3 linked regions of the Lonchura striata genome follow. The protein of the gene in region 2 binds, or shares a complex with, the protein of the main gene of each other region. Links are inferred from orthologs where the notes say so. Each region holds a gene or a part of one and is shown on either strand. Other genes may lie near its edges. The genes, in order: FGF23, KL and FGFR3.

Region 1 (7,920 bases), on a different chromosome or scaffold from region 2:
TCTCCCAGGTCCATGTGTGATCCAAATGTAGATCAGAGTTGCAAGTCCATGCTTTCAGCAAAGGAATTTTAATGATAAACCCTGTTTTCTCCCTGAGGGTCCCTACCCATGGCTCTGTGCTACAGATTGGTACCTCACTGGATCTCATTTCTGTAATACGGAAAAGTAGGGGGTTTTGCTGTTGTTTTTGTTGTGGGTTTTTATGTTTTATTGTGGTTTTGTTTTGTTTTGGTTTTTTTTTGCTCATTAACCCAGGCAGGACCTCAGATGATTTTGTCAGCTCTACTACTTAATACAATCAAAGGAGAGAGTAAAATTTGACCTAAGTGTCAGATCTTCTCTAACACTTCCCCCTCCACCTGCAGCTACCCAGGCTTGCCCTGGCTGGGGAAATGGGCACCACAGCAACAGAATGCACTGGCCATTGAGCCTGAAGACTTGGGAAAGGTCACTCACCGAGCCAAATATATTTCCTTTCATGTCCATACACAGGTAGCGTCCACTCTTCACACCTGTGATTATTACTGAGCCAGCACCCTCAGACTTGATCATTAGGGCACCTATTCAGAACAACAAAAACATCAAATCCATTTCAACATTGCATTTACAGATCCATGGATGCTCTGACTAGAAATGACCTTTGGGAATTCAAACCAACCTCCCACATGACCTGGGACTGTTGCCCACCCTAAATCAGGTTTGCTGTGGTTTTGAAAACTCCCAGGATGGAGTGTGTTACACTGTTCCAATGTGGCACTAACCTCCTAAAGACAACTTTTTTTCCCTCTGAAGTCCCAAATCGTGGTCTGAGAACATTGCCCTCAGTTCTGCCATTGCCCACATCCAGGGGCTGTTTGCCCCCCTCATCTTTTGTGACTGCCCTGTGGTATCTTTTCAGTGGTGCTCAGCAGTGGCACCAGAGGAATCGGCAGGAACAGATAATCAGATGGAAGTTAACACCTGGACAGGAGGCAGAACTTCTGTCCTGTGCAGTGGCTGAGCCCTGAACAGATTGTCTGGAGAGGATGTGGAGTCTCCTCCACACCTGGGGATATTCCAGAACCATCTGGACACAATCCTGTGCCCTGTGCTCTGGGATGGCTCTGGTGGAGCAGGGAGGTGGGACCAGGTGACCCACTGTGGTGCCTTTCACCCTCAACCAGTCTGTCATTCTGTCATTACATTGCCCTTAACATCCTTTTTGCTGGACTAAAACCACAACAGATCATGATCAAGGCCCCCTGAAAACCCTGTGCCAGACTAGCCCTACCTTCTACTCATGCAACATGAACTGGGGTTGCTGTAGTGCTCCAAGAGCAATGTTACTGGTGCCAGGTAAAGTGGGAATAAATAACAACTTTGCTTGATCTGCTCCTTGCATTTGACTCAGTGCCTGTTGCCTTGTCCCACCCAGGAGATTGCACTCAGGCCATGCCACCCTGCTGGAGAACTTGGCATTCCCCATTGTCTGGTGGCTCGGTGGCAGCAAATCAGTCACCCTCCCTCTCAATACCCCTTTTGTTGTCTGATTTTCATTTTTCTTGCTCCACCATTCTGAATCCTGCTATGCTTGTTTCATGGCATATATGGGAAAATGTGATATTTTGCTGTCTCTTGTTCTCTAAAATCCCACACTGGTTCTTGACTAACATACCTAAAATTAGTTGTATAAAATCTTTTAATATGTAGGAAGATTAACAAGACAGTGCCAGCATTTCTGTGAGTGTTGCATTATCAATTCCTTAAAAAAATAGCAGAATGTGATCCTTTTTCCTCATCAATTAAATTATAATTTTAAAAAACATCCTTATTTACTTATGTAAAAGCTTCATTACCTAGGCTTAGATTTTTAGCTGATTGTATAAAATAGATGTAATAATAATACTAATGATAATAATAACAAGATTTTTGACAACAACTTAGATTTTTAAATGAGTGTGTAAAATAAATGTAGTAATAATAGTAATTAGAATAATAACAACAACAAAAAGCTGATTTTATAATGCATAGCTACTTGTGATTTGAATGCTAAGAGATAAGTATTTTTGAAATGCTATAAAAGTACCCTAAGTCTTAAACCCCTCCTACATTTGTCTACTAACTAAAGAGTTTGGGCCAAGCATTTAGCAAAGGAAGAAGAATAAACTATTCTCTGTTGAAATAGAATAATAAAATATATAATAAAATAAACTGTGAAGACACAATTTGAAAACCTTTCAGTGATAGCAGGGCATAGTTTCTTCTCATGAACCCCAAAGTCTTAACACTTCTTTTATGCCAGTCTGGTCTTTCATAGTTTCCCCCTTTTTAATTGATCTTTACGTGCCTGTGTTCTTTGCACATTGAAACTTAACTTTTAGTAGTTTTCAGCCCTCCACCCCAAAATACAGATTTTATGGATGCCATCAGTTTTCCAGCACTGCTCTGGTGAATTCCCTCAATGTAATTCCTTTGGTATCACCATCAGTGGGAAGTAGCTATTTGGAGGATATCATTACCAACCTCTAATAGGAACTTCCACCAGAAACTGGGGGTAAAATCATGAACTGAAGGATAATTCAGGTGGTTTTTCCTTGCAGGATATTATAGGAACCATAGGACTTTAGTTATCCTAGGTAAGGAATGAAAATCCCTATCCACTAGATTTCTTTAGAGTGATTTTATTTGTTAAACAAAAGGAGAATTATAATGATGTATATTTTCCATCCCATGGCTGTGCTCCTCTGCCTGCCTGCCTAATGAGAAGAAGGGATTTTCTATAGATGGTGAGGAAGTAAAAATTCTCATTGTCCCTCCCCTGCTCCCATGGAGGTCTGTAGGAAGCCACTTACTGTAGATGGTTTGGTGAGGAGCACCATCAATGTAGCCATCAGCGTTGATCTGGAGGTGGAAGCTGCTCCTCTCGGTGTCGGTGTAGAGGTGCATCAGGCGGTCTCCATTGCCCCAGCTGGGACTCAGCAGTGGAGAGGAGTTGGGAAAGGCAAGGGAAGCCTTTAGGCTGCAGAGCAGCAGGAGCAGGGAGCTGCAGGGAATGCCCTGGAGAATGGCTCGCCACTCCATGGTGGGTCAGCGTCTGCTCCTCACCTCCCCTCGTGCCTGGAGTTTGAATCCTCCGACAGGATCCCTTCTTCTCTGCAGAGGCTTATAAAGGACAGCAACATGACATCACACAGGAAAACCTTCTCCACATCCTTGATTTTTGGCAAAGCAACATTTTAAGTGTCCCGAAACCTCAAGGGAAGGATCTCTGGCTAAGGTGTGTGGGGGAAAAATGTAAGGTTTCTAAAGACAGCTCACGAAAGCTAATCATATGTTCAAATGTTATCTACAACCCTGTGACATCTGAAAGCTTCCCACGCCTCTACTGTTGGATCCAGGAAGGGCAATCCACTGCACTTGAACTGAAGGGAATGACCCTTCGGACCTGAATTATCTTTCTTTTTTGCCAGATGTGTTTATTCAGACTCCCACCTCCCTTCACTGTTTCCAAGCTGCATTCTGATTTACTGGAAACATCAAATGCAGCTAAAATTTTGTTGCAAATGTACCAAAAGTTAATATTAAGCTGTCCTGAGCCTGATTCCCCCTTCATTATGGTCCATGTTCCACACCAAGGCTGTTGGGCTGATATTTGTATCATTTGATTCAAGTGAAGGGAACTTGATATGAGTGGAACCTACTTCAAGTCCCTTTTATTTCTTCTGTTTCCTTCTGAATCACATAAATAATCTAAAGTTGTCCAAAACCAGCTGAAAATAATGTGTAAAACACTTAAAAGCTGGATGTTTGCTCCTGCATTGCACATCTGACTGGCAGTTCGTAAAAAATGTTCCAAGATTCAAGACCTGCTTCTCAGGTGTCCTGCCAATGCTGTGGGTCTTTACAAACAAATTTTCTGATTTAAAAAAAAAAAATATGGTTCTATTTATGAAATAGAAAATTAGTACATGAAAATGCTGTACTAATGGGAGACTGGATATGGGTGAATCAATTATAGGAATGACAAGTTCCAAAACTGGACTGTGTTAAGGTTCCTTTCAAAATTTAATATAAATTTGACAGAAGTACCAAACAATAAATTAATATTTCTTTAAAGAAACCTGAGGATTTTAACTGTAGCAGTGTTAGGTTCAGTTTTAGTTTCTAGCTGGACATAGCATGAAAACTTCTTTGTTTCATGAACAAGCTGTGGAGCTGTATCATCAGCATATAATGGATTGATAAGATTAATGGATTGGTATAGCTGTAACCCACTGCAGAAGTGGATCTGATTTCAGTTTTTTTATTTTTTAAAATTAGTAAAACCCTGCCAAATTCTGCTGCCACACCTGTGTAAATCCAGAGACTTGCGTCAGAGTATATTCACCTGTGTAAATGACAGCACTTTTTAGCCAAAGTGTATAAGGGTCAGATCTTAAACTGAGCAGGCTGACAAAGATGGTTGCCCTGAAAGACAATCCAGGCCTCAGATGTTTTACTGGTTATAACATCTAAAATGCTTTAAATTAAAAGGTAGCTTAGAAGGAAAGGAGAGTTACTTTTAAATTAAATATCTCTATTTACTGTTAAAATTATCCACACATATTTTTCACTCTGATCCTAGAAGAAATGTTTGGGTTTTTTGATTGGTTGGTTGGTTGCTCTGGTTTTTTTCTTTGCCCCTTTGATTAGACTCCTATGGAAATGTGGATATTGATACCTCAGTTGTAGAAGTGTCTCACAGAGGCTCTGTACCCTCTTGGAATATTCTATCTTTCTTTTGTGACTGTAATTTTCCTGTTTTGATGTTTCATATTCACCATGACATTTTGTTGTGCTTGCCAGCATGCACTGATCTGATCTTTCTCCAGTGCCTTGGTGGCACAGAAAATATTCTCAGATGTTTGAAAAATTTATTGAACCTCATTTAAGCACATGCCAGTTGTGATAATCTGTTTCATGTTTTATAATAATCAGACAAGCAAAGGCTACTTTTACAAGCTTAAACTGTTTAGCATTTTCTAAAGTTTCCTACAGCATCAGGAAAACTCCAGACTTTACTAATCTGGTGGGCTAAAGTGAATTTATTAAGTCCCTGCTTGTGAGAATGATAATACAAGTTCTGCTTTTTCATAGACTTTTTTGCTTTAAACCTATAAATGCCCACTACATGTGGTTTGTTATGAGTTTTTGGGTTTTTTTTACAGTCCATGTCTTTTTCATTTTAGGCTGATCTATTTATTCCTTCTGTGGCTATTTCACTTATCCTCTACCCATTCAGCTGTCAATGGGGTAGCCAGGTGTATGAAAGCTGCTTTACTCCTTCAGCCAAGTCTGTTATAGTAGAAGTGATGACAGCCTTTCTTGTCTTGCATGTTATGCTGATGCATCAGCAATAACAATATTTCTGCAACTTTTACCACAGGAGTTGGTATTGATTTTTCATGTTTCTATATTGCTCTGTGTGTTTGATGAATCAAGGTGGCTTTTCTCAGTTCTCAGCTAAGAAATTGCTGATAATTAACAGAAATTGCTTGTTGTAGGGAGAAATAAAAGGAAAAAAATGGGATTGAATTTAAAGATCACAACCATTTTACATTGCCACATTTTCCACTTCCCACTGCAGGGGTGCTACACTGCCAGTGTCAGGTGCCACAGCGGTGCAGGGGCCTCCTTAGACGTACCCTGGAAAGGGAGCTGGGACACAGCCTGGAGGAGATAACACCTATTGTCAATGTCAGGAACCAAGGTAAAGGGAGGAAATCCTCACTCCAGAGCAAAAGATGAAAGAAGATGGGTAAGACAGACCCCAGCTTTCAGGATGAAATTTATTTAAGATAATAATTAAGCAACCTGGTCTAAAGGGGAAATGTCCCTGCCCATAGCAGGGAAGTGGGTCTCACTCCACTCCCTCCCTGCCATGCCTTTGTCCCAGGTCTACTCCTGCTGCCTCCTGCTCCTTGCTCCAGAGGCAGCTCAGCTCAGGTTTAGCCAGGTATGCTGGTCACTCACCTGGGCCAGGTGCCTCAGCTGGAACATGGATGACACTCAGGCCTTCCTGGTATCATCATTTAACTGCAAAAGGGTACACAGAAAGAACTGAGGGTCACAGGAGCAGATTGAGGTCTGACTTTCCCCCATTTTGACTGCTTTGAGTTTCAGCTTTAGGTTATTTTGCAGTCCAGACTTACCACCTCAACTCTGTAAAGCCCTCAGCAGCTAAATATCATTCCTTGTGCTGCTTTCTTTTACTGCTTATCCCCTCAGTTCTGGAGAGAGCTCACAAGGCAAAGGCAAGCTCTTTTTACAACAGATTGAAGTTACTACAAGTGACGTGCAGTTATCTTTTGGAAGGGCTTTGTGGACCATCAGAAATTTGCGGGTTAAAAAAAAAAGTTTTCTGCTCAATCTGATGGATTTGCCTTCCAGGATTCTCCTATGAGTAAAACTACACGTCCCCTCACAGTGCAGGAGTTCCTTTCATCACGTAGGAGCACCTGTAGCACTCTTGCCTAATAAAGCATATTGACTTATATGTAAACAGGTGGGTGGCTTGCCCTTTTGCAGCATTCTGTGCCATCTGAGTGTCCGTGCTGGCCTCAGGAAGCCTCTTGCTCTCTGCTGCTCAGCTCACACAGGAGTTTGGGTTGACAGATTCGAAACTACCTCTGCTTTTAATAATTTCCTTTGCACTGTATCTCTTCAAAAAAGGTCACAGAAATTAGGAGCTTGTCCCTCTGCCTCCTTAAAATCACTGTTACGAGTGGCTCTGGGATGATCACACCCCCAGTTCTGGAAGCACAAGGGTGGAGTGCCTCTCCAGGAGTTATTCTAGGAATACTGACGCACTGAGCCGAGGGAATGTACAGTGGATGCTCTGTGTGTGTGTGTGTGCAGTTGTCTTTGCCACAGACTTCACCCGGTGTTGTTAAACACATCCTGAGTGACCTTATTTGGAGGCCCCATTCTTGTCACACTGCCCACGACTAAAGAAAACATCCTGGCTCGGCTCACCTACGTGAAAAAGATGAGGTAAGCACAGCCCACTGGGTTCAGGACCGCAGCATGTACCAGCAGTTTCTGCAGTGTGCCTGCTCTAATGAACTGAAATGAAGGGCCTCATTCCTCCTCCAGCTGAAATCCTTGGCACAGATCCCAGGCAAAGCAGAACCAGTCCCTAAAAGGTTTTGTTCTCTGAACAGAGAGTGTTTCTGTCATTTTAAGGGGTCTGAGTTTTCTTAGGTGTTGTGGGAGATAGGACGGGTACAACTTGTGGTGATAGCTGCTGATACCCTCAATTTCAAAAAAAATCATAGAATCACAGAATGGCCTGTTTGGAAGGGATCTTAAAGATAATTTCATTCCAACTCCCTGCCATGGGCAGGGACACCTGCCATTATCCCAGGTTGCTCAGAGCCCCATCCAGTCTGGCCTTGGACACCGTCAGGGCTGGTGCAGCCACAGCTTCTTTGGAAAACCTGTGCCAGGGCCTCATCAACCTCACAGTGAACAATTTCTTCCTAATATCCCATCTAACCTTGCACTTCTGTCAGTGTGAAGCCACTCTCCCTTGTCCTGTAACTCTAGGCCCTTGTCACGAGTCTCTCTCCATCTGTCCTGTAGCCTTCCCTCAGGTCTGGAAGGCTGAAAAATGTTCTGTTTTGGTGTTAAGGCTTGCAAGGCCTGAAATTTGTCTGGATTCTGAAATCTGCCCTGTGCACACCCAGTCCTGCTGACCTGCCTGCCCAGGCACTGTGTCTTGTCTGAGAAATTTTCACTTTTCTCCTGGTGTGCTTGCTTCCAGGTGCAAAGGAATCCTCAGGACGCAGATACACAGCCTCAACGAGAAAGTCATTTCAGTCATCCATCTCCTATTGTAATATGCTACAAGGTGCCTAAATGCAAGCTGATGGTTTTATTTTAGGAAAACTCTTCAGTTTA
Region 2 (7,019 bases):
ATATTGTAAATAAGAGGAAAAAAAGTCAGAAGTCATGCATACTAAGACCTAGTCTGTACATTTGCTGAGAAACGATTATGATAACAAATTCTAACTTCAAAAAAGACCAAACATGTTCTACAAATTCAATTTCCCTGGAGAAAAATAAAATACAAGAATGGCAAAGAGAAGGAAAAAGGATTAAGAAGAAACCAGGGATCACCTCTTATGATATAGGGAGCAAAAGGTTAGACGATGAAAGGGGGTTTCTTTGCATGAGAGGATTCAGCCACATCTTTTGCAGTGGGTCTAAGAGGACTGTATCTCCCAGCAACACTGTCCAGCGCTGAACACATGCTGCAGCTCAAGTGATAAAGCAGTGTTGCTGTGCACCCTTCTGATACAAACCAAAGATGCGCACACTCCCAAAAAAATGCCCAAACTCGCCTACAAAATTATACAACCCATAGACACATATTAAAGAACAACATTCAAGTTTCAAGGTCAATACTCTAGACCTGTGCAAGACAATTTAATTTCCACGTGAAATGCAATTCTCTCTTTACCATCTATGGTAGAACTTTAATCTTTTCTTACACAAACTCACATACTTTTTCTATGGATATTAGGCTGTGGAAGCCATACAATATAGCTTCCTCCTATTTCACTGCTTGCACAAGTTAAAAGATCTAATATTAATATGCTACAGAGAAGTAAAAAGGAGAAGGAGAAACAGATGAAAGCTGTTCACTTCTCTGTGCTGAAGAACTAGGCTCTACCTCTGCCTCCATGAAGACTCTTACCTGGGGAAATCAGGGATGTGAGCTCCTCTGCACATAATGTATGTCTCTCATTTTCTCTGCAGGCGATTTGCGATTTGAGGATATGACTTGTAGAAGAGCTGGAAGTATAATGTAACTGACCAATAATCTACAAAGATCACACACCAGAAAAAGGACACTGACAACTAGTGACCACTTTGGCTCTTAAGTGAATCTGTGTTTCAGCTCCTCTTTCATAAAATGTGGGGGGAAAAGTGGTATCTTGCTGCCTTCCACTGTACATAAAAAGAAATGTTCACTGATGTGCAAACCCTGACTGACAGCCACTGGGACAAAACTAAATACTACGGTTCCGTCACTAAAGCAAGCATTGGTAGACTTTCCTGGTTTAATTACACTTTTGACATGGCTTGGCCAAGACTGTGGCTCAATTTCTAATTATTACATAGAAAAGTATCTTTCTTCACAGAGCTTTTATGAGAAGAACCACATGCTTGAGATTATGAGGGACTCTGATACTATGGTGATGCAGGATATACTCAAGAATGAAACATGGCCAAGTACGACCATGGTAACTACATAAAGAGCTTAAAGTTTTCAGGACGAGGAAATTAACCTGAAATTCTACCCACATTTTCTCCATCTCTATTTTCCCTTTGACTTATTTGTAACATTAAAGAATGCAGAAATAATACAGGAAAGTGGAAAAAAGTCAAATAAGGCATGTGTTGGAAGTTTTCTTCAAGCCTACATCTAATGCACAATGCTTATTAGGATATAACTCCTGCCAGAATGTGTGTGCTGAGCTGACAAGTATTAGCAGAAATGTAAATGTATATTGAAGTACAAGAGATCATGCCTAAATGACCACCCCATTCCAGTTAGGAATCCCTTCTCCTGTCATTGGAAGGATACATACACACTTCTGCTTAACTCAGAAAATCCGCATGGGTTGCTCCCAGCAAATACCACAATTACATAATAGTACACAGAAAAAAATGAAGTATATAGAACTACTCGTGCCACTTACAAGACTAATTGGGGAATTGTGGGTCTCTTTCCTCAAAAAGTGCTCACACTCAAAAAAACATCATACTTTGTCAAGAAAATGTCTCTGTACGACATATTGGCCACTTCTACCATCTCCAATAATTCAGTAAGCCTTTTCTATCAAATACACAAACTCTCTTTACAGTCATATTAAGCATTTCCAGCTTAAGAAAGGCAGCACTGGAGTGGCACAGTCCAGGGACTGCAGACCCTCACTCATGCAGAATAGCAACTGAACTGCTGCGGGCAGAAGCGGACACTACCGCAAAACAGAGTTCTTTAACTCCACCAGCTCAGTCGCAAAGCTCCTGCCTTACACCGAGTTTTGCCTCCTTTGCCCATAGATGTGCTGACTTGTGTTCCATACCGGTGTGGGACCAGCGCACCGGAGTGCCGGTGGGGCGGGCTGAGCGGGGAGCCGCGTTTACCTGCAGCAGGTGGTGGGCCGCCAGGTAGCCCAGGCGCGGGCCCCCCCGAACGCCGGGCGGCAGCCGCCCCGTGCCGTAGCCGTGCCAGGCCACCACGTAGGGGTTGTCCATGGTCAGCCAGTAGCGCACCTGCCCGCCGAAGTGCCTGAAGCACAGCTCGGCGTAGTCGCGGAAGAGCCGGGGCAGGACGGGGCTGGCCCAGCCGCCGAGGGAGTCCTGCAGGGCCTGCGGCAGGTCCCAGTGGTAGAGGGTGACCACGGGCTCGACGCCCAGCTCCCGCAGGCGGGCCAGCAGCCGCCCGTAGTGCGCCAGCCCGGCGGGGTTGGGCGGCGCCGTCCCGTTGGGCAGCAGCCGGGCCCAGGACAGCGAGAAGCGGTAGTGCGAGACCCCCAGGCGCCGCAGCCCCTCGACGTCGCGGAACAGGTTGTTGTAGCTGTCGCTGGCCACGTCGCCGCCCAGGGGCCCCGGCGGGGCGGCCCCCGGCGGCGTGGCCGGGCGGTGAACGAAGGTGTCCCAGACGGACGCGCCCTTGCCGCCCTGTCGCCAGCCGCCCTCCGTCTGGTAGGCGGCGCTGCCCGCGCCCCAGAGGAAGCCGTCGGGGAAGGTGTCGTGGAGGAAGAGCTGGTCCTGCGGGTAGGGCAGCCGGGCGAAACGGGACCAGGTGCCCGCACCCTGCCCCGGCGCCGCCAGCCCCGGCCGCCACAACAGCAGCAGCAGCAGCAGTGGCAGCAGCGACGCGGCGAGGGCCATGCTCCCGGCGGGGCTCCGCGACGGCAGCTCCCGCCTCCCAGCTCCCCGCTGCCCCATTTTATCTCACCTTGCGCCCCCGCCTTCCCGCCCTGATGGGCACGGCCATTAATAATTACCTCGGAGCTGCCGCCTGCATCATTCCCAGCCGGTTCCATCGGGGAGAGCTGCCGCCGGGGGCGGGAGCCGGGGCGTGAGACGGGGCGGGCGGGGAGGAAAGGGGGGAAGCGGGGCGTGGGCTCCTCGGGGAGATCCCTGTCGCCCCTGGGTGCCCGTGGGTACCCCGGCCCCTCAAAGGGAAAGATCCCGGTCCGCGGGCTGCAGGCGGGGTGCCGCAGCCCTTCGCCCGCCCCGCCGGCTGCCCGCACCTCGCTGCGACTACATTGTCCCCTCGGAAGCGGGACCCTCGCCGCTGCCCTGCCGACTGTCTTCCCGTCGGAAGGGCCCGCGGAGACTCGACGGCCGGATCCGTCCGCTCTGAGGGGATGAGCGTAGCCCCTCCCGTGCCCCGCTGCAGTGCCGCCGTCGGGGGGTCCGTGGGGCAGCGCCCCTGCGCCCGACCGAGACAGGGGGAGCGGTCCCGGGGCTCGGCTGTGGGAAAGGCGAGGAAATAAAAACGCTTTTCCCTTCCCTCAGTGTTTCCGTCGTGGTAATTTAGCAAGACACATCGCACCTGGGATCTCTCATGTAGCAGCAGTTGCAGAGAACTCGTTGTCCAAGGACATCATACGCTCACTCCTCCCCGCCTGCTTCCCGGGAATTCATGGGTTGTCACCTCCCAGTAACAACTCTTTTGTTTCCTGGAGTAGGAGGTTGGTATATTTGGTTGCTTGCTGCACAAAAAACAAGTTCCAGTTAGAAATGCCTCACGGATCTTTACGGAGAGAAAACAAATCGAGTTAAGTTTGATTACTGAGTTACGTTTAGTAACCAACTGAGCAGGCGTGAGGCACAGACTGCTCTGTAAAGGCAGGTCTCAAACTGCCCTTTGCGTCTCTTGTGGACAGAACCATTTAACCATCGGGGAGAGCTGCCGCAAGGGCGAAGCCAGAAACACCCCAACACCTTGCAGAACCTGGTATTCAGTGGTGTGAACTCTTAACAGGATTTGGGACACCTAAGAATAGAATACATCTACTAGACAGGCTGTTAAGCACAGAGACATGTTCCCAGGAGATAAGGCTGAATGAAGGCCTTTAGGTAATTTAATTTTATTTTTAGAAAATAAACTTCCCCAGGGAAAAATTACAGATAATTGCTGATAATGAGTCAATGGATTTAAATGCTAGTTGTGAACTAATGAAGGTTTCTTTTTGTGCACAGGATGGGCTCTCACCTCTCCCAAATTCAGGCAGGGCAATTGCCCTGCCCGTGCCCGTTTCTATAACCTCCAACTTCCATATTTTCTGCACTGATCCAGATCAGTTTTAGGGATTGATTTGTGCTGTTTTTAAAGAGAACAAAGATGTAGGAGACAGAATTGGAATTAGTCTTCCATTGTGGCAATTATTATTAATTGCCATGTTAGGGGGATGGAGGTCTCAACAGTTCAGGGGACCATCAACAACCCTTCCCTAAAGGAGAAAGTTTGTAAAGCAGGAACAGGAGGTGGCAGGCCCAGAACCAAGGCTGGACATTGGTTTCCAGGAGTGAGTTTGGAATACAGTCTGAGAAGGTGCTGAAATTCAATTACAGTCTGAGTACATGACAACTTCAGATACAACAACAGAAAAAGATTGTTGGCATCAGCTGCTAGTTACTTGCAGAAACTGGAGATTGTTAAGTGTACTGGGGCATTGCTGCAATTGTCCCTGTGCAAGGAGTGGCTCCTGTTCAGCTGCAGACCTGATTTCAAGGGAAGCATAATGTCTTCACTGGATTTTGCTGACAAAGTATTTTAAAAATAGGAATGCACAGGCATGTGTCAGAAACACCAATACCTAAATAAAGATATTAGTGATGGTAAGTCTATTGGTAATATTTAAGGAAAAAAATATTGAGTATCTAGGGACACAAGAGATTTTGAAATACATATAGTATATTCTTTCTTCATGTGCTAATTATTAACTAAAACCTAGATCAATCCTATTTGTACTTTGCAAGAACCAATAAGTAGAGACTGAACTAAAGCTCCTTCACTTGTTTCTTCCAGAGCCTGTCAACAGTCAAGGCAAAGAAATTATTTGTTGGTGTTACTCTAAGTCAGTCTAGAGAACTTCTGAAACATCTGAGAATGGCTACATTATCCAAAAATTGTCAAAATACAGTGGAGTGTACTCCCGAAGCAAGAAGCCCATTTTTGAGGGACAAAATCTCACCATAAACCATTGGCATGAAGCTGTCCCTTCAACTTTGACTTTACCTGCATGTCTGACAGATGAAAGCTTTTTTTTTTTTTTTTTTTTTGTGTGTGTGTCTGTGTGTGTGTCTGTGTGTGTGTCTGTGTGTGTGTGGGGGGGGGGGAGGGTAAATAACAGAAAATGTGCGGTGTGGCCTCTAGTTCCATGTGTTGTTTTTGGTTTTATTCTTAGAAAGCTTGTTTTCTTGTCTTAGGACAACAATACAATTACCAACTGCTTTGAGCCAATTTTTTTTTTTTCCTAGCAGACAGCCTAAAAAACTCTGTGCAATATTAACCATGCAGAAAGGTCAGCCAAACACTTGCAGACATTCAGGTCTCCCTCGTTACTCCTTGAGTTCAAAGTGTGGCTCCATTTCGTCCATGTTGCTGAGCAAGCATGCTTTCAGTCCTGCCCCAGGTAAGCAGATCAGGATTTGATTTTCAGCCTCTTTGTATTGGTGATTACTGAACATTCAACTTTTGATAATATGTATAATGTATAGTATTGTGTCATTATAATCTTCCTTCAGGCTGTGCTGAGATTTTCTTTGCTCGGTATAGAGTCAGTGCATGCAATCAAACTTGACAGTGTTCTGACTGAGCAGTTCTGTTTATATCCCAAAGGGGATGGATCTTCTGGGATACTTAATTTTAGGTAAAATAACTCTATTACTGCTTTAGATTCATTTAACAGCTTCCCCTGAGGTAATACCATGCTTCAATGCAGAAAACCCCTTTATCATTTTAAGATCTCCAGAGAAGAGCTAGAAGCCATATACCAGTAGCATTTGTGATGGAACAAGTGATCTCAGTGCCTAAAACTACCATCTCCTGTTTTAATGCTCCTTCTCTGTTCACAAACATACTTCCAAATGCATACAGCCATACAGCCATGTGAAAATGGCCTTATGTAATAGATTTTGCAGTCTCAGCATTTCCTCTCGGGACACAAAAGTATTTGCTAACACTTGGAAAAACTGCTTAAAAAAATCACCACCTGATTTAGATTTGAGTGTTTTCTCTGCTTCTGACATCGCTGCATAACAGTACTACTTCTGTGTTCTGTCTGTTAAATGCAAACTGCTAAGCTGTGAAATTTTACTTCCACTTCCTCATCAATAGCTGTTTCCACTAGAAAGATGTCCAACAGCATTCTAGATTTACCTTCTTCATCCCTGCCCGAACACCACAGACTACAAGGCAAATAAGTTCTTTCTTTTGCAAGTCCAGTTTCCTTGAAAAAGTGCAGCCTTCCATACCTGTTCCTTCTTTCTCACATGATCACACTACTTAAATGCATTTACTGTACATTCAGAATTACCTTAGGGACATTTCATTGTTTTGAAATTAGAAATTAGTGTGTTGTCAGGTTCAAAATAAACTTGCTGATGAAATAAATGCAATGCTGTGGAATGCTTGGGAAGATGTCAAATTCTCCTCTATCTCTAAGTACCAAGTCACTCTCAAGTCCACTCCAATGGCTTATTCTGAATCATGGGCACTCTAGTGCGTCGATGCATGGGTAAAAGAAGGGATGGGCACAGATGAAAGGAAAAGAAGTTACCTCTCTCCTAAGAAGAGGGGTATTGAAGAAGTGAGTACAGCCTTGCTCTTCCAGTCCTGGGCAGGAGACATGGATTTGTCTGACAAGAGGAGTTCAGAGCTGAGGGAGAAGAGAAAGGACAGGAATGC
Region 3 (8,082 bases), on a different chromosome or scaffold from region 2:
GGAATTGCAAGAAGACAGCCTCTAGATGTGGCTGGGTTGGTATCAGACACAACACTGTGTCAGCACTGGCTTGAGGGAGCATACAGGCTGTATTAAAGTAGAATTGAGCATGACTGAATTTGAGCTTCCTCCCAGGTAAGTCAATCTTACACTGAGAAAGAGCTTGCCTAAAAGTCATAACAATAATAACTAATATTGACCATAATTCTGCTGTCCTTTATAGACGGAAAACCTGAACTTGTATTTATTTTAGGATGTTACTGCTTGTTCTGAAAGTTCCCATGCCACTCACTACTCATCCCTTTCCCTACCTTGGAGTGGGGCAGAAGAGGTGAAAACCCCTGGAGAAAGGAGAGCCACCAGACAATAATACAGTGGGGCCAGGACCTGGGGTAGAGTGCAATGTGTGTGAGCTCTAAAGGGCTGCAGAAAAGGGAAATTTCTGTAACCCCTGCTGCAGGTGAGCAGTCAGGGTGGATGGGCAGCTGGTGCCCTTTGGTGGTCTCTGGCCACATCCAGGAGAGAAGACTTCAAAGGCAGCTGTTGGACTCCCAGAAGCTCATCTTGGCAGTGTGTGATTTCTCCTTACAGGCATCAGCCTGCACAGTCTGCTCAGGGATTAAACAGGCTAAGGCTTCATTGCAAATGCCCCTCAAAGTGAGGTGCCCTGCTACACCCCAAGGGCAATCCTGCTGCACACACATTTGCCTGAAATATCCTATGTGCCCATGGCATGAAGAGGTCTGGCAGGCAGCAGTGATCTCTGTCTCATCCCCTCCAGGCTCCAGCACGCTGCCAGGGTTTGCTCCAAGGACAGGCAACACCCAGCTCGTGCAGGTGGTCAGTGACACCTCTGAGAGCACTTGTGACCCTGGTGCAGTGCCCTGGCTGCACACACACAGCTGCTGTGCTGAGTCAGCATTATTTCAAGGTCTGATTTTAAATCCCTGCTTCTCAAACCCTCCACAGGCTTGCTCCAGTTATTTGTTTTTGTTTTTGTTTTTGTTTTTGTTTTTGTTTTTGTTTTTGTTTTTGTTTTTGTTTTGTTTTGTTTTTGTTTTGTTTTGTTTTGTTTTGTTTTGTTTTGTTTTGTTTTGTTTTTTCTCAACTTTCTCCAATTGCCTGCTTTGCTTTCCAGGCTGACAAATTATTTTACCTCTGCCAGCACCTCCCATACAAAGCTCTTGCAGAATAGATCCAGCATGCAGCTCCAGTTCACTTGTTCCTTCTTATTTCACCTCAGATAAAACAACTCACTCCTTCCCCTTATTCCTTGTCTGTTCCATGCTGTTCAGTGGGAAACAAATCCAGCAGGATAAGATTTTGTTGCAACCAGCTCACAGAGGGTGCAGGCACAGAGAGATCCTTCACAAGGTGTTTGTCTGTTCACAGTGTTTACCCTGACAATCATTTGGAACCTTAATCTTAGCAACAATGACTTTCGAGCTTGAAATTCAATAAACCAGCCTGGAAGTGCAGTTCTAAGGGCTGGCTAGCTAATAAAAAGCGGTTTAGCCGTTCCAATGCACCTTATTGATATAAATGGGTAGTGACATGAGCTCTGGAAAATGTACCCCAGTGCTGGCATCCACTGATGCTATTTAACCCTTGAAGGTTAAGGGTGAACAGCTTGGATTCTAGTCATGCACACTGATACTGATCTCTGAACCAATATTTCAATTCAGTTCTGTGTGAACTTGTAGCATTCGGCTGGGCTGAAGGAACAGCGTGTTACAGCATTGTGAGGCCACAACACCCAGTCTGGCTCACAAGTCAGCTAACAAGACCCAGTTTTGATAAGAAATATTTGGGAATATTTATTGTGTGTACCTAACCTGATATGATTCAGCAGCTTAAGTGACTGAGACTCTGATCAAACTTGCCAGCATATTAAAATTTGAATTAAAGCTTCACCTACTTCAGTGCTCTGTTCTAACTCAGTATTGATTCAGGGATTGCTTTCTGCTGGCTAAGGAAGCAGCTCCTGTGAGTATCAGATGTATGGGGGCAATTTTTGCAAGATCCTTGTTGAGGGCAGCACTGGTGCCTGAGCCTTCTGGCTGCCATGCTACATCTGGCAGCTCAGATGTGCAGGGGAGAGCTTTGCACAGTGCACGAGGTGGGCTGCAGGAGAAGGGAAGTGATCACAGGCTTTCTGACAGCAATGTCATCAAGGCTGACATTGGCATGAATAAAGCCTCTCTCCATGCTTCTCCAGAGCCTCAGTCCTGAGGGCTTTGGGACAAGCATCTGACAGCCCGTCCTGTCCCCATCTCATAGACAGAGAGGCAGAAGGGACTGCTTAAAGCATTCACACCTGGAGCCAATTTTGGTCCCCTTTTTTTGACAGAACCCTTCATGTAACTTAATTTGAGACTATCAACAGGTTGCACTTTAATAGAGAGAGATTAGCAGCCTCCCTCTAAGGTAGGGCTTTGGAGAGGCATGAAGGGAGGGAGGGGGCTTAGCCATGCAAATGCCCCCAGGGCCTGCAAGGCTCTGCAAAAACTGTCCCAGGGCATCCAGTCTCCGTGGCTGAGCCCCCAGTGGGGTCTGGGCAGATGGAGGTGTGTGACAGTGACAGGCTTGAAGCCACTCACTCAAAAAAGGGCTACCACTCACCATCCCTGAGCTGCTGAAAGGGGCTTGATTTTCATCACAGGCAGCTTTAGATATTAAAGGGATAAACAAATATAAAGGTCTGGGAAGGGAATTCTTATAAAGGGTAAAAGGAGAACAAACATGTTGGCAGAGAAAGTATCCCTGCATGGAGGGGAGTGCATATGCTCCTAGCCTGAGGGGGAAGAAAAACTTTGGGGCTAATATATGGCTTATGGCATAACAGTGCTGAAATAAATGCAACTGTGTTGTGCAGGCTTTACTAGCCTATGTACATGGATTTTTTTTTTTTTTTTATAGTAAGAGAGTGGCTGAGACACAGTCCAGAGCTGCAGTTTTTGCTGCACAGCACTACATCCTGGGCTCTCTTACAGTGGCCACCACTGTGACAAAGCAGCATCAAAAAAATCTGTACTTAATCGGGTCTGTGCTCCCCAACACCACATGAATGTTCCGCATGGTTAATAAATAGGAAAACTAAAAATATCCTGCTGTAGGGAAAACTGCAAACCTTGAAGTTCTTCATACAGGACTATCTTAATGCCCATTTGATTTCCTGTTGTAAAGAGCTTCCAAATGTTATAAGCTCTTGGTTTTTTTTCCAAATGAAAACCAGTTCAAAATCATTAAAGGGCTGAGCTAACTTGATACACGGTGCAGACCTTCACATCTCCCAGTAACCTTAAAACTCTCTGGGTTCAGATTTGCTGTTTCCATCCTGTTACTCCTGGAGCAGCATGAGAGTTTTTACCCTTGCCTGACAGAAAGCAACAATCACTGTGGCACTTTTAAAACTCAGCTACAGTGTGAAAAACCTCACTGAATTCTCACCGACGTTTTTATTTTTTTCTGCAAACTTAGGAAAGCTCCTGGTCCTCCTTTGCTGCTCTCCTCTTGGAAAATTGAGGTAGTAATAGTAACAATACTAACAGCAATAGGAAAAATAACGCTACAACAACAATCCTACCCTGATGGCTTTACTTGAGAGCAGAATTTGGCCCTGCTTTTGCAATTTTGCCTTCAAAGTAATGACGCCAACAACTCCTTGTGCAGTGTTATAATTATGCTGCTGTTGTTTTAATTTTTTGTGATTTTCTGGCACCTCCAGCACAGCAGTTATGACAGCAAACATTGTACAGCTTGACGTACTGCCAAACCTTCTCTGTGACGGTGAAATAAGCACATTTTATTTATATGTCTGCTTCTCCCTCCGTTGTTTTAATTTAAAACCGACAGTGTCACTGGCGAGGGTCTCCACTGACATGTAGGATTTCCTCGCCGCAGCCCCTTTCAATGCTTCCCCACACAATGCCACAGTATTGAGATGTCAGAGTCTCTGTGCCTGATAAAGGTGTCAAGAGAGATCCCGGCTGCGGCGACGACAGCGCGAACGCCGAGCCCCCCGCGGCGGCCAGGAGCGATCGCCGCCGCTCCCCTCGCTGCAAGCCAAAGCTCCGCACCGCCCGCCTTTCCTCTCACCCAGAAAAACTCCCCTTGACTCTAGCGCAGGTTGGGTTTTTTGGGCCCCTTCTGCAGGGCATTTTCAGCTCTGATAATATCTGCGTCTATTTTCAGCGAACGAGCTGCTGTGTCAAGTGGGATTAAAGTAGAGCTGTGACTTCTCTGTATGAGGCAGATCAGCTCGCTGTCAGCAGTAAGTGATGCGTGTCGCTTCAGCAGCTCGGCCGTGTCGGGGGTCTCTGAGATGACCACAAAAACCCGAACTATAACTGTGATAGTGACTAGATCATTGCAGTGGTGACTGTAAATGTGACTAGATCCATCTAGTCAGACTTTATTAAAACAGCTACTTCAGTTGGCAGAGGAGACACGCAGAGAGCCGTGGAGCCTGTCATGATTCCCATACACGTATCACAGCGATTATGGGTGTGGGGGAGTGAAGTCAGGGGGCTCGAAGCGGGTGGCTTCACTTCGGGGTACGGAGTGGCAGCCATGGAGGGGAAATGGGTGCATGGGCCATCTGCTGCTCAGGTGCCAGGCTGAGCCGAACTGCTGCACGCACAGAGCTGTCCCCATCCCACGCATCCCCCTTCCCGCCGCCTCTTCAGAAAACGCGCTGTTCCAGGGCCAGGAGAAGGGGACGCGCGGTGACCGCCGCGGGATCCAGCATGGGAGCACCGCGCCAACTTCAGTCTCACGTCTGTGGGAAGCGGTGCCGCTCCGCCCCGAGGGCTCGGCGGGCGCAGCCCCGCGCGGCTCCGGCCGCCCCCCCGCGCAGCCGCGGGGCCGGGCGCGGAGCGGCGCGGGGCGGGCGCGGCCCCCCGCGGCGGCGGCGGCGGGGCGGGGCGGGGCGGGGCGGGCGGTCCGGCCCGGCGGGCGGGGACAGCGCGGCCGCCCCGCTCCGCGCCCGCTGCGCTGGGAGCAGACGCAGGAGCGCCGCGGCGGCGGGCGGGCGGCAGCGGCGGCTCCTGCGGGCGCTCGCTCCCTGCCTCCCTCCCTCGATGCGCGGTGCGCGGCCGGCCGCGGGGCTTGCGCAGGTAGGCGCCCCGCCGCCGCTCGGCGCACGGCTTCGCCCGGCCCCCTGCACTTTTTTACTGCTCCCACCGCTTTTTTTTCCGCCTTTTTACTATTATTTTTCCTGTTCCTCCTCTGTGTGGGCACTAGGGGCGGGGGGTTTTCTCGTCCTCCTCCCCGCGCTGAGCGCCTCTCTCCTCTCCCGGCAGCGCGGCGGCGGAGCGGAGCGGTGAGCGGCGGCAGCATGCGGCGGCCGGGGGATGTCTGAGGCGGGCGGTGCGGCGGCGGCCGCGCTGCCCCGGCGCCGCTCCGGAGGCATGCGGGCGGCCTGGGGCTCCGTCTGGTGCCTGTGCCTGGCGGCGGCCGTCGGCGGGATGCCGGCGGCAAGGCGGGGCGGCGGCAAGGCGGCGGCGGCGAGGAGCGGCGGGCAGCCGGCAGGTAAGGGCTGCGCGGCCGCGCACACACGTGCTCTGCGGGGACGGCCCGGCCGGGTTCGGCGCTACGAGTCCCCGTCCGGGAGCGAGCGGAGCGGGGCGGGTGGATGGAGGCCGCTGGAGGCGGCGGCGGAGCGGGAGTTACGAACGCGGGCCCGGGGCGGTTCCACCTCGCCGTGGATCGGGGTAGTCTGAAAGCCGCCCAGAAGGGACAAAGTGCTTTTAAGAGGATCCCTGTCTGCCAGGAGTTCTCTCAGCCAGGCGGTGCATGGGGCGCTCCGTGGGTAACAGCTGGGAAGATGCTTGCGTGCGTGTGTAGCAGCGCATCTTCGGCACACATCGGGAATGCTCTGACTGCGTGTGTTCGGGTGGGAAAAGTAAGGAAAGGTCATTTATGTCCTCATCTTGGGAGCAAAAGGGGTGTTGCCACAGCTCCGGGTAGGCACAGGCTGGGTTGCAGCTGAATGAGCGGCCGTGCTGAGAAGGGAAGTGCGTTTCGGGAGAGCCGGCGAGGATCTCCCCTGGAGTGGCAGCACTGCAGTTGCAAGTGAAAAAAAGTTAACACGTCGGGCAAAAGCTGGGCTTTGCTTTTTTCTTTCCAAGTAATATACGGCGGGTTTGAAGCATCGTGTCTCTGTGATCCGCCTCAGCTGCTACCTGAGTCCCTGTTTATTTTTCAAAGCTCTTTAATGGAAGGGAGCCCCTTCGCAGCCCCCTGTCCTCCGGTTTGCATGTACCCGGCAGAAAGTTTCCATTGTTCAGGAAAGGGTTCGAAGCCTGTTTGCCAAAAAAGTGACAGGGGAATAAATGGACTTCGTGGAGGCTGGGGGGTAGGGGGCATTACTTTCATACCCCTTTTGGTTAAAGCTATAAATCACACAGGGGGTTGGGTTTGTTTTTAAGAAAGTCCTAATAAAACACCAGATTCTTAGTGTAACTCGTTTGGCTCATTTTTCACAGCCAAAAGAATTGATTTATGGGGCAACATGGCAGGGACTTGGTCAGAGCAGATGAGGTCGGTGTGCGGAGGGCGGCGAGCAGCCTGTGCTGGCCACAGGGCTGCGAGTGACAGAAGCGAAGTGTCCCCAGTTCTCTCTGGCTTAGCCTGAGGTCCGTGTTGGTGCTGTCACTTTTCAGACACAGTCGATCCCGTGGGGGTGAGCAGCAACCTCGGTGGCTGCCTCAGTGGTCCCTGGGCTTCTTTCATTCAGCCCTTAGCTGGGGTCGACGATGTGTTAAGTGGTGCTAAACCCCTCCCGTGCTCTACGATACTTTGGCAAGTTAAAGCTTTGGGATCCTGTTGGAATCGTAGCAAGTGGCATACTCGGAGGTCACACAGAGGGAATCATCCTTCCAGTGATGTCTGTGAAGTGAGTGATGGGTTGGGGTTTCCAGGGCCTCCCGTGGAAATCCTCGGGACAGTCTCTGTTATCTCTTGGTCAGCATTCTCTAAATGAAAGATGTCACTGTCAACTCTTGCTCTGCGCCCTGGAATGGGATTCAGGAAACCAGGAGGGTTCCCGTCAACCCCAACCCCTAGCAACGTCTTGCCCTGTCACTGTGAGCTATTGAAAACTCGTGTGGATGGGAAGTATGAGGGGAGACAGAGCTTTTCAGTGCCAGTGGCTGTGCCACCTCTTCCACGTGCGTGGGGACGCGTGAAGCCACTGCTGCTTCCCCAGCTCTGTGCCAGAGCCAGCGGCTCTGCCACGGTCAGGGCACCCGCTGCCTGTCCGACCTGGGGGGGAAAGGTTGTGCAAAAGAAACTGTAAAGAATATAAACCTTCAGAGCCGAGTAAAAACACATTTTACTTTTTCAGTCTTTTTGAATTGAATGGTAAAAAGCAAATTCTTTCTCCTAGTCAAATGGGCCATGGGGTATTGGCTCATTACTGAGGGTTGTTGTTCGCTGGGCTTTGCATTTACAGTCTAAGGCCTTATTTTCCATAAAGGGGCTTGGAAGGATTTTTCCCCAGTGATCTAATTCTCCGCACGGGGCTGTGAAGGCTATAACAGCTACTGCTTTGTGCCTATACTCAGCTACATAAAACACACATTGAAGGGAGGCATTCTCGAGGTATGTGTATGTTTGCTAATATGAATACTGGCTATTAGCGGAGGTGGAGGGGGTGCAGGTTTTAACATCTCCGCAGGGAGGTGTTCGGCTGTTGGCAGGAAGGAGGCAGATGGCGGGGCTGTTGCTGAATAGAAGCTAAACTAAAAACACCAGGGGCCTCATCTGGGCTGAGTTTCTCTTCTCTCCCGTTCTCGGAGCTGCTGTAGGAAGAACAATGTCAAATTTTCCCCCTCCCTCTTTTTTTTTTTTTTTTTTTTTTTTATGAATGAAAGTAAGAGAGGCGAGGCAGGATTGAATGTGTATGTCATTCAGGGGCTATGACAGAGATGATTAGGGAGGTCAGTGAACTCCTTTGCAGCCTTGAGCATGCGGTCACTCTATTCAGCAGCCACAGAATAGACATCAATATAAAAAAGCCCGTCCAATTTGCATTAGTATTCAGATAAAGATATTACTTCGTACGATTTGTGAATGTCA

The links.
Region 1: the proteins of KL (region 2) and FGF23 are in contact, whole or in part, in a cryo-EM structure (PDB 7YSH), measured with the Homo sapiens proteins. The link is inferred for Lonchura striata from reciprocal best matches to the Homo sapiens genes KL and FGF23. Residues at the interface, in NP_004786.2 of Homo sapiens: Phe377, Lys385, Leu389, Glu390, Pro392, Trp417, Phe418, Ser420, Lys429, Tyr432, Tyr433, Lys436, Phe437, Arg468, Ser471, Ile472, Arg556, Arg693, Asn694, Met695, Thr696, Tyr697, Ile735, Val752, Phe755, Asp756, Asn782, Asn783, Leu785, Ile812; in NP_065689.1 of Homo sapiens: Leu39, Met74, Ala80, Val88, Arg91, Leu166, Ile167, Phe169, Asn170, Ile173, Arg175, His177, Asp184, Ser185, Glu186, Arg187, Asp188, Pro189, Leu190, Asn191, Val192, Leu193, Lys194, Pro195, Arg196, Ala197, Arg198, Met199, Thr200, Pro201.
Region 3: the proteins of KL (region 2) and FGFR3 are in contact, whole or in part, in a cryo-EM structure (PDB 7YSU), measured with the Homo sapiens proteins. The link is inferred for Lonchura striata from reciprocal best matches to the Homo sapiens genes KL and FGFR3. Residues at the interface, in NP_004786.2 of Homo sapiens: Ser539, Gln540, Phe541, Thr542, Asp543, Asn545, Val546, Tyr547, Leu548, Trp549, Asp550, Val551, Ser554, Lys555, Arg556, Leu557, Val563, Lys566, Arg568, Tyr571, Val573, Ala576, Pro580; in NP_000133.1 of Homo sapiens: Gln286, Leu288, His290, Val291, Val293, Gly299, Thr303, Pro304, Tyr305, Val306, Thr307, Val308, Leu309, Lys310, Glu320, Leu324, Ser325, Leu326, His327, Asn328, Val329, Glu332, Asp333, Thr338, Leu340, Phe347, His349.

The regions. Positions count from the first base shown.
Region 1 is NC_134607.1:483,542-491,461, forward strand, and holds the start of FGF23 (fibroblast growth factor 23), read right to left. Parts: upstream 3,061-7,920; coding exon 2,832-3,060; intron 561-2,831; coding exon 457-560; intron 1-456. UniProt on the Homo sapiens protein: Regulator of phosphate homeostasis. Inhibits renal tubular phosphate transport by reducing SLC34A1 levels. Up-regulates EGR1 expression in the presence of KL. Acts directly on the parathyroid to decrease PTH secretion. Regulator of vitamin-D metabolism.
Region 2 is NC_134604.1:67,245,710-67,252,728, forward strand, and holds the start of KL (klotho), read right to left. Parts: upstream 3,047-7,019; coding exon 2,240-3,046; intron 1-2,239. UniProt on the Homo sapiens protein: May have weak glycosidase activity towards glucuronylated steroids. However, it lacks essential active site Glu residues at positions 239 and 872, suggesting it may be inactive as a glycosidase in vivo.
Region 3 is NC_134606.1:8,143,095-8,151,176, forward strand, and holds the start of FGFR3 (fibroblast growth factor receptor 3), read left to right. Parts: upstream 1-5,041; 5' UTR 5,042-5,117; intron 5,118-5,303; 5' UTR 5,304-5,354; coding exon 5,355-5,532; intron 5,533-8,082.